3 linked regions of the Kluyveromyces lactis genome follow. The protein of the gene in region 1 interacts with the protein of each later gene in a pairwise test. Links are inferred from orthologs where the notes say so. Each region holds a gene or a part of one and is shown in the gene's direction. Other genes may lie near its edges.

What was found.
Region 2: the proteins of KLLA0_A01155g (region 1) and TIP41 interact in binary tests that used the Saccharomyces cerevisiae proteins (3 or more experiments, as listed by UniProt). The link is inferred for Kluyveromyces lactis from reciprocal best matches to the Saccharomyces cerevisiae genes SAP155 and TIP41.
Region 3: the proteins of KLLA0_A01155g (region 1) and SIT4 interact in binary tests that used the Saccharomyces cerevisiae proteins (3 or more experiments, as listed by UniProt). The link is inferred for Kluyveromyces lactis from reciprocal best matches to the Saccharomyces cerevisiae genes SAP155 and SIT4.

The regions. Positions count from the first base shown.
Region 1 is NC_006037.1:104,741-109,155, reverse strand, and holds the start of KLLA0_A01155g (SAPS family protein), read left to right. Parts: upstream 1-1,487; coding exon 1,488-4,415. Other genes in the region: KLLA0_A01177g (uncharacterized protein), read right to left, coding at 1-418. UniProt on the Saccharomyces cerevisiae protein: Positive regulator of protein phosphatase SIT4. Involved in directing expression of TOR-repressed genes and in dephosphorylation of NPR1 in response to nutrient starvation. Negatively modulates K(+) efflux of the cell by the Na(+)-K(+)/H(+) antiporter NHA1.
Region 2 is NC_006041.1:554,927-558,088, reverse strand, and holds TIP41 (Tip41p), read left to right. Parts: upstream 1-1,450; coding exon 1,451-2,662; downstream 2,663-3,162. Other genes in the region: STE18 (Ste18p), read left to right, coding at 1-220; ERV2 (flavin-linked sulfhydryl oxidase), read right to left, coding at 358-969; EMC2 (Emc2p), read right to left, coding at 2,816-3,162. UniProt on the Saccharomyces cerevisiae protein: Involved in negative regulation of the TOR signaling pathway in response to type of available nitrogen source. Indirectly activates the PP2A phosphatase SIT4 via interaction with its suppressor TAP42.
Region 3 is NC_006040.1:313,596-316,383, reverse strand, and holds SIT4 (type 2A-related serine/threonine-protein phosphatase SIT4), read left to right. Parts: upstream 1-1,211; coding exon 1,212-2,141; downstream 2,142-2,788. Other genes in the region: THP1 (Thp1p), read left to right, coding at 1-538; KLLA0_D03630g (SCO family protein), read left to right, coding at 2,785-2,788. UniProt on the Saccharomyces cerevisiae protein: Involved in the dephosphorylation of the large subunit of RNA polymerase II. Is required in late G1 for normal G1 cyclin expression, bud initiation and expression of certain genes that are periodically expressed during late G1.

The DNA.
Region 1 (4,415 bases):
GTTTCACATAGACAGTATACTGGTGGCACAATTGTAGGTACCAACGACAAAGGGAGCTTTCAGCAATAAAGGCATACTTAACCACCCGTGGGTAAACCTTAGTGTAAACCAAACTCAGAGAAGACCGTGAAGTTCTAATTACACTTGGGACAACTTTTTGCTCAACAGTATCCTTCACATGGATAACTGCTGATCCCACACGAGGAACTACCACTGTTTCGTACTTTGCCACAAGCGAGTCGGAGTACTTTATCACTTGTGGGAATCTACCACCTATTATGGCACGGTAATGCTGCGGAGCAGTATATTTGCATATTTGTAATTCTCCAGATGTATAGTTGTCGCATGAGTATCTAACGGACCCAAAGGCAAGTAGCAAGACCAGCAACGCCTTGAGCAACTTTGAAACGAGTCTCATATGGAACCTCAGCCTACTAACACGCTAATAGATCAGTGTCCTTGCTACGACTACTTTCTAACCTGACGGATTAGTGATCTGTAATCAGTACTTTACGAACCATAGCTGGTCTTCCATATTATAAATACAAAATGTTACTGAATGGGGTTGGATGTGTTGTCATTTTGACGATTATGTAAACGTAAAAAAAGATAAACAGAAACAAGAACACAGATTGAGAAAAAAAAAAAAAACAACAAAATCAACGACCAATTCCAAGTCACGTGACAAGAACATCCATTATAATTAGGGAAACGCATGCATTTTGGTTGTTTTCTTGGGTAAAGAAGGAGGAGAAGGAGTGAGAAAACAGCCTCTCACAGATCATTCTTCACGATCCTATAATCGAGCAAGGACTACCACTATGAGAAGGGAACGGCAAGCACACCACAGAGAATAAGCTCGTTTACTGGGTCGCCCCGGTCCAAACTGCTGATACGTATATATTCGGATCTATCCATTGCAAGAGCAAGTAATCTACTTGTGCCTAATTAGTGTTGTGTCGTGTGCCTTTTATTCGTCTTTGGAAATTGGCTTACCTTAGAAAGATGTCCATATTGTACATCATTTGTATGTCAAATGCTTATCGTGTATATAGCAAGGTATGTAGCATGTATATAGGATGTATATATCAATTACAGTATGAGAATATAGTTGGACTATTGCGAATAACTACGGATTCCCGTTATTTTATGCTAAATGTGGATGCCCACCCTTTGGTAGATCCGCGCCCAAAACTACCCATTCTCTATGAAACTGTAGCAGTTCGTTTTCTTATTCGGTTTTGTATTAGATTTTTTTTGGGCATTTTGGAAATTACTAACTTAAATAATTAAGAATTGAATATTAAGAAATATTCTCATTTTGGCATAAAGGAAGCTAGGAAAAAACAGGAGAGGAGAGTAAAGCAAGACGTCAAACCCATATACTCTTTCTCGAACCTTTGAACCCCATAATCTGAAGCTAGCGGACCTCAGCTTGCGTTTTATATCGTGTGTTTTCCTCATTAAAAGAAAGCTAAGCAGCTGTGATGTCGTTCTGGCCGTTCGGACAGAACTTCAATAGTTCCAACATCAATGGAATTTTGGAGGAGTATTTCCATGTTATGCATGGATTGGAGAACCAAACTCAGAAGATAGCTGGATCCAAGAGTAACAACAGTAGTACTGTTGGGACTTTAGGAGCTACTGCCGGTGCAGCAGCTCCCGTGGCAGTTACGGACGATAACGATCTTAATGAGACCAAGACAACAACGACAACCTATAATAATGATACTAAAAGAATTAATGACAATCACGAGAAGAAGGAAAATGCAAAGAAAAAGAAGAGGCAAGGATTTGCAATGGGATTTGAAGACCGGGATAAGGATAGTGATGTGATCATCGGAGACTCAAACGATTCTGATCGTTTGGAGCACAATGTCGATTCTCACACTACTGATTTCATCGATAGTTCCAAGAATACTATTGATACTTCACCAGGAAGCTCGCAGCATAATCCTCGACCTTCTCTAATACCTACTCCTAGACGATTCAACGGTACCAGTGATATTGAATCAACGCCGCTAAAATCAGCTGCCTCTTCCCATCCCGACTCCTTATCCACTACTACAACTTCGTCCAGTTCCGCTTCTCATCTAAGTGACGAAGAAGGACCGATCCCCTTGCAAGCCTTAAGTCATAAGTTCATGGATGAGATCTTGGAAGAAACAGAACTTTTGAACGAACTAACAAGACAAAACAATACCCTTTTGGATTTTGTTTGTTTTGGATATTTTTACACGGAAACTGGTGACAAGGTAGAAAATATTGCATACTTGATCGACCGGTTATTGGATTGCATTGATAAGATAGACGACGATAACGACTCCGCCAATTTGGATACTGTTGGTGGAAATGATAATGTTAACGAGCTTGATGATGATGACAATATCAATGAAGAACATCGCATAGAAAACAGAGACGGCAGTATAAATGATGAAGGCAATAACAACGCTGTACAAAACATTAGAGAGAGTGCTACAATTGGCAGTAACGATAGTGGTAGGGGGGAAACTCACAATCAAGGCGACGATAATGAAGATGAAGATATAGATACATTTGGCAACAGCAAAGGTAGTTTTGAAAATCCACATGAATTTACATCCTCACCTCATGATGACTCCATAATACCTATGTTAGACTCCAAGCTGAAGAAAAAATCGACGTTTCTCAACAAAGCCAATATTATTTCTGAAATATTTGCATTAGATATCTGGCTAATTAGCGAATCTCTCGTGAAAAATACTGAATATTTGAATAAAATTTGGTCCATTTTATACCATCCTAAATTCACCCAAGAGAAATCGCCACTTATTCCAATATTTTTGAAGATAAATCAAAATCTCCTTCTCACAAGACAAGACCAGTATTTAAACTTTATCAGGACAAGAGATAACTTAGTCATTGATATGTTAAAACATATTGATATCTCTCTCTTGATGGATTTTTTCCTCAAAATTGTTGCTACTGATAAACAAGAGGCTCCCACTGGGATTATTGAACTAGTCTCAGAACAAAAACTTATCGACCATTTATTCGCATTTCTTGTCAATGAAAAATATTCAGCAGACATTCAAGCATGTGCAGGAGATTTCATTAAATCAATAATAGCAGTATCTGCTAACGCCCCATTGGATGAAATGTCCATCGGACCCAATGCTTTGACAAGAGAAATTGCATCTGAAAAATGCATTGATTATTTACTAGGTTGTATTATCAACGAAAGAGGACCGGCTTTAATGACTGCAGTATCCATTACTATTGAACTGATAAGAAAAAACAATTCTGATTACGATCAAGTAAACCTTTTGACTACGACTATCAAAAGTCATCCTCCTTCAATGAGAGATCCAGTTTATTTGGGAGTCATGTTGAGAAAATTTTCTGAAAACCTTGTCAATTTGAAGCAGATATTATTCGATATAGAAAATGATGCTAGTATCCCTATAATAAAGAATCAAATGGGAGAAAGTTACAAACCACTTGGATTTGAAAGGTTCAAAGTCGTTGAGCTTATTGCAGAATTATTACATTGTTCTAATATGGGATTAATGAACTCTAAGAAAGCAGAAAGAATAGTAAAAGAACGTGATCAGGTAAGAACGGAACTAGTTCAACAGTTAGAAGACGCATTGACAGACCTCAATATCAAATCAAAATTAACTGCTGATAATCACAATTCTGATTCTCCTACAGAACTGAGTCTTGATGACGATATTGACGAATCCTTCGAAGTCCCTTATGTTAATGATAACCAGAATGCAAAACTTCGGTCCAATCCGACTATTGGTGATTTATTCAAGATTGAACTTTACAATTCTCAACTACTCCCTATCATTATTCAACTTTTCATAAAATATCCATGGAATAACTTCTGGCATAACGTTATATTCGACATAATACAGCAAATTTTCAATGGAAGGATGGATTTTTCATACAATTCATTTTTAGTCTATGCTCTTTTCAGCAACAAAAATGCTGAACGTTTTGCTACAGATAAAACTTTAGATGATGCTCCGATTGATTTCCAAATAACTCGGGATTTGGTATTGCTAGGTTATAGAAACTCGCATAAATTTTACGAGAAACACAATACCACCCTAGGTTTCATGGGTCACCTAGTATTAATTGCTGAGGAAATCGTAAAATTCTCTAAAGTGTACAAAGTTGATTTAATCTCACCGGATATACATGAGGTTTTATTGGATGAAGATTGGGACTTCTACTCAAACGATATTCTCAATGATACAAGAATTATGTATTCAAAAATTTTAGGAGGAGGTGATTATATTGAGGACGGTAATTTAAATGGTGGTGATATCGTTATGGGTAATGATCAGGATCCAACCAGCTTTTCTACACAAATGGATCTCCACGATAAATTAAGAGAGAAATTGATAGAGAAAAGCCGTCAAGAG
Region 2 (3,162 bases), on another chromosome or scaffold:
ATTGAATAATAAATTAAGAAATGAGCTAGCAAGGGAAAGAATGACTGCGTCAAATGCTTGTTTGTCCATAATCGACTATACCTCAACCCATAAGGATTACGCTGTTCCAGAAGTATGGGGTTACCCAATGGTTGGTGAAAACCCATATAATAATACTATGAGGAAGAACAATTTTGCTAGATCTCACGAGGAAACGAGTGCCTGTTGTACCATAATGTGATGATAAAAATATTGCTGCCGTATACTCTCTATGCTTATTAGTTACATATATATTTAGATAAAACGAAATGCGAATGCAACAATATTAGATCTTATTCTTTCAATTGACACATACGGAGGGTAAACGATTCCCTCACTTCATCCCAATTGTTTCTCCTCTTTGTTCAACGTTACTTTGTTCATTTTCAAAGATGGATCGATATTACCGTTCTCGTCAGTGCATCCACAGTCGTAATCTTCTAAGATTGTGTTACAATCGTACCTTGGTTTTTCAAGATGATCGTTCACTAGATTATGAATATGACAGCCCCATAAAGCAGCAGTGGTTCTACTGGCTACTTGTGGTGGGTATTTCTTCAACATCTTGACGAAATGGTAAGAACATTCGCCACATGGATATAACTCCGCATATAGGTAAAGAAATTCACGTAGTTTCGTTTTCTCTTGCTCTGTAGGCTCGTCGGGAAATCTGGCTAAAAGAGTGTGGAAATATTTCCATGAAGCCCGCCCCAAAGCCTTTTTCGCCTCCTGATCAGGCATCTTCGGCATAATCGTACCTGATGCATCATCGTTCTTCGCGTTCGCACTTAGTCCTCCAAACAGATCGGATTTGGTACCACCCAACGATGGTGACCCCTCAATAGGTAGCTGGCTATTAGAAAATGTAAACCATAGCAAGCCTATCATTAGAAGCGTAGTTATTGTAACGATCCGCTGCTTATGCAGTCCTACCTTTAGCTTGATTGACATATCCGTTGTTCAATCTGATCAAGGAAAGTATGCTTTTAGAAATAATAGAGAATAGCAGAGGGATAACAACTCTGTAAGGTGTATGTACGGCTCCTCGGTAGATAACTTTGTTCCCATATTGTTACACTAAGGTGTCAATCACGTATTAATACATTCCTTACTACTTTTACGATCTTCCAATATTTTTCGACTGTAACCTTTTTTCTATTGATATTGAGATTTATAAGAATCAATATTCCAGCATGCAAGACATCTCTTAATTGAAGATTTGTGGTGGAAAGGAAACGTTGCAAAAAGGACTACGATCATTGTTTCAGCCCCTGATAAAACTTCAAACTAATTAATATTCCCACTGGATTACAAGCGTTGAACGTCATTTTGTTCTCACGCTAATAGCCAAGAAAATTTGCATAGGGATTAATTTCACTAGTTTTATTATACGACAGGAATCTGAGCGATCAGGGGAAATACACATGCCAAAATGAGTGATAAGAGTCAGCCTCAGAACAATGCCAGGAACAGAAGATCTCTTGGGAGCGGTATTCCTATGATACAGGTTAACCAGGCTCGTGAAATGTTTCAGGCTACGGTAAGGGCGCGTCACCCCGGCAATCCGCAGCAGCCAAGAGAAACCGAGATACAAAGTTCTATGATGCGCACGACCAATACTACTGTCGGTGGTACCACCACGAACTCAAGTTTCCAAGATACACAGTCGGTTACAGTAGCCACTAGCATGCCCAAACCGAGCTCCAAGCGCTCTCACGAACATGATCATAAGCACACTCATACACACCCACATAGATCGAATAATCCGAATAATCCAAATTGTGGCCATTGCGGTACAGTCATTGTTCCATCCCCTGTAGCCACAATACCAGCGAAAGATGACCCATCTGTAAGTGTAGGTGATTGGACTATCACCACGACGAAGAGGCCTATTCTTTCTAGTGATGAGATCGACGATTGGACTGAGAAATTGAAGTTCCCAATCCCAGAAATGATTTTTGGTCATTCCAGCGTTGAATTGAAGAACACCAAGACTCATTGGTGCATACGATTCAATCCGTTCCATGCACTTAGTCAAGTAAAACTTGGGGATTCTGGGTTAAGAGTGTCATATTCCGAGAAATGGATCAATTCCAAACTTAAGAATAGTCAAGTGACAAACACAGAGGAAGGATTACAATTCGGAAAACATTGGGATTGGTCCTATACGACTTTATACAATGGGACTGTGTCAGAAGATAGTGAATACAAGTTTGTTGTGGATAACCAGTATCAGCTTCCAATAGAAAAATTAACAAGAAGAGATCCCATTTTATTCTATGATGATTTCATTCTATTTGAAGATGAATTGGCAGACAACGGTATCAGTATGCTTTCGATAAAACTTAGGGTAATGGCAGAGAGACTTCTTTTATTATGCAGATTCTTCCTAAGAGTCGATGAGGTCTTGTTTAAAATCATTGATACAAGAATATATGTCGAATTCAATGAGGACCTTGTTGTACGGGAATGGAAATATATGGAGGATGATTACAAGACAGTATTGAATAAATGTAGATTAAATTCAAACGATCCTAAGAAATCTTTGAGAGACAGCAACTGGGTTGCGTCTGTATTACCTTTGAAGGAGCGCGTATGTGAAGTATTGAGGAAAAAAGAAGATATAGAAGAAGTTGTCGAATAAGCACTCACCGCTACTGTCGAATTGACAGCACTTTTGGAAAATTCAAGAAAGAGTTGATTTGCTCATTCATGAATCTACCTATTTAATTATGTTACCCAAAAGGAATAATATACAAATCTCGTAATACATGTGATAATATTATATACACACTATTCAAGTTTCTGAATCCAAAAGGTATCTGGATACGTTAGTGATTTCTCTGTTATCATTATTTTGCTGAAGTTCTTGCAATTTTCTTACAGCTAATTGAGTTAATTCAGGTTTTTTATTCAGTTTCTGAGATGTCTTCAATACAATACCCCAACCTTTCACGTAGGCTTCTGCCAACTCAACAGATCTCAACGCATTTGATAAACTTGATTGCAAAGCAGCTTCAGGGTCAGAATCTGATTGAGACTTCAAGTAATGCAAATAAGCTAATTGACCAAATGCTTCATAACTGAACGGCACCCCAATTATGACTTCTTCCATGCAATATATTGCTTGACGTAGGTCCCCAG
Region 3 (2,788 bases), on another chromosome or scaffold:
TATCATTATCAGCAAGTTGCCAGATTTCAACAAGTTATCTCAATGGGACCCTATCCTAGCACAGAAATACACAGCTCTTGTGATTGCCGTTAAAAACGGAAACTTGAACAGAGTAAACTTCTGGCTTTACGAGAACGAATCGTGGCTGAAATCATCTAAATTGTTGATTGTTCTATTGGAAAAGCTACCCATTATAACGTTCAGATCCCTTTTGCGATCTATTTTCCTATACTACTGTATACCGCGCAATTCAAATAAACTACCATACTCTGTGATAAGACCAATTCTAGCAAAATCCATCGGTTTATATCCACCTGAAATGCCATCGATATATAAAGACAATTACACCGCAGAATCACTTGAAAATATCCTTGTCACACTTTCAATTCAACAATTGTGGAAGGGAAATGTGTTTCCAAGCCTGCAAGTGTGCGTTACGATGAAGACTAACGATATCTCAGTAATCTTCCCTAATATCAATGAAAAGATCGTCTCTAGATTTTCGTTGAACCAGGAAGATTCCTGGCTCGATAAGTAAATGATAGATAATATACATATAGTATGTAAAAATAGATGACACAGCCCCTCCTAACCTGATTCGGGTCCCACTATCATACCCAGTCGTGAAACACTTTTGGAAGACTCAATTTTTACAGACATGTCTATATAGATATAAGAATGCTCTCACATATATCTGTTTGTCTTCCAGGTCACATTCTGCAAAAAAAAGTAAGAAATTGAAGAGAAGTTGAAATTTTGTTGAAGTTTCCATTATTTTTGTAAAAGGACTGATGATTACAACAGAAAACAAAGAGAGAAGGAAACATCCTTATAGCTAACTACTTTGTTAACAAGCTTTTAGCCATCAACAAAGAGTAGTGATATAGGGCTGTTCTTTGTTTGAGCTATTGAATTTTCCTATAGTGAGTGAGTGTTTCTTGTTGAAAAGAAAAGGTGCAAGAAATACTTCCAAACACAGGTTTTAAGCTTGTTGTGGTTTTTATTTACAAGAACGCTAATCATAATCACTTTACAAGAAATTCAGAAGGAATTTATCCCAATTTTTTCACAGGTAAGGACTGGGTTTTATTATAATTATTATTTTTTTTATTGACCTTTGAACTTTATCTTCCCTTGTAAAGGTTAATTTGCCATTGCATAAGTTCATCTATCTATAGAGCGTTTTGTCTCCGGAGTGCTAAAATATCACAATGTCAGATAATGGGCCAGATTTGTGGCTTGAGAAGATCAAGAAATGTCAGGCTTTGACGGAGTCTGAGATGAAACAGCTATGCGAGATGATGAAGGAACTCTTAATGGAAGAATCGAATATTCAGCCGGTTCAATCGCCGGTGACTGTTTGTGGTGATATTCACGGACAATTTCATGACCTTTTAGAACTATTCAGAACTGCTGGTGGGTTTCCTGATCAAGTAAACTATATTTTTCTTGGTGACTATGTAGATCGTGGTTATTACAGTTTGGAGACGTTCACACTTCTTATGTGTTTGAAAGTGAAATATCCTTCCAGAATTACTTTGGTTAGAGGAAATCATGAGTCGAGGCAAATTACACAAGTTTATGGGTTTTATGAGGAATGTTTAAATAAGTATGGTTCCACAACGGTTTGGAAGTATTGTTGTCAAGTGTTTGATTTCTTAACTTTGGCAGCTATTATTGACGGGAAAATTTTATGTGTGCATGGTGGTTTGTCTCCCGAGATTAGAATGCTTGATCAGATCAGAGTTCTATCGAGAGCCCAAGAAGTTCCTCATGAAGGTGGCTTCTCCGATTTGTTATGGAGTGACCCCGACAACGTGGAAGCATGGCAAGTCTCACCTCGTGGTGCCGGATGGTTGTTCGGTAGCAAAGTCTCACGAGAATTTAATCATGTGAATGGCCTAAGCCTAATCGCAAGAGCTCACCAGCTAGTTATGGAAGGATTCAAATACCATTTTCCGGAGAAGGATGTTGTAACGGTATGGTCTGCACCTAATTATTGTTATCGATGTGGTAATGTGGCGAGTGTCATGAAAGTCGAAGATGATTTAGATCCAACATTCAAAATTTTTTCCGCTGTACCTGACGATTACATCCAAGAAACAAACAATAATAACCAAAGAGGTGGATATTTCTTATAGAGCGACATTGCAGCGGCCTTTTTGTCTGTATAATCTTCTATGCGAACTTACATCGGACTAAACATTCTTTTTCTCCTTCTATTTGAGAATTCCTTCTTAATATACTGTACACTAGAAATCAAACATTTACCTAACTTTTACGAATTCAAAGATATCCATCAGGAATTAGGATTTAATTGGAAAGTGGACTATAAACAACGTAATTTTTAATGGGTTGAAATCATTACTGAGAAACCAACCCCCCTGAAACTTAAATAGTCTAAAACCCGGTAATATATATAGATATATGTATTAATGATAACGTTTAAACTGCCATTATGTCTTTCACGAGGCTTCACAGAGTCCTGATCTAATCCAAACTAGATCATCGAATATATTCAATTTGATATGGAATCATATATAGAATATCGTGTGTAGAATAGGTTTTTTTTTTTCTTACCAGTATCTCTTCAGCTCCAAAGCTGCATTGAAATATTTAAAATTTCAAGAGCATTTTATACAAAAAATGTAGCCATATGATTGCACTTATAACTTTCATAAATGATGTGATACCAACAAAACGCAGCATTTTGGTTACTCACATCGGGAATAAACGGTTTAACAATAACAAGGATTGCTAATACAGTATCAACTATAAATTGTAATGT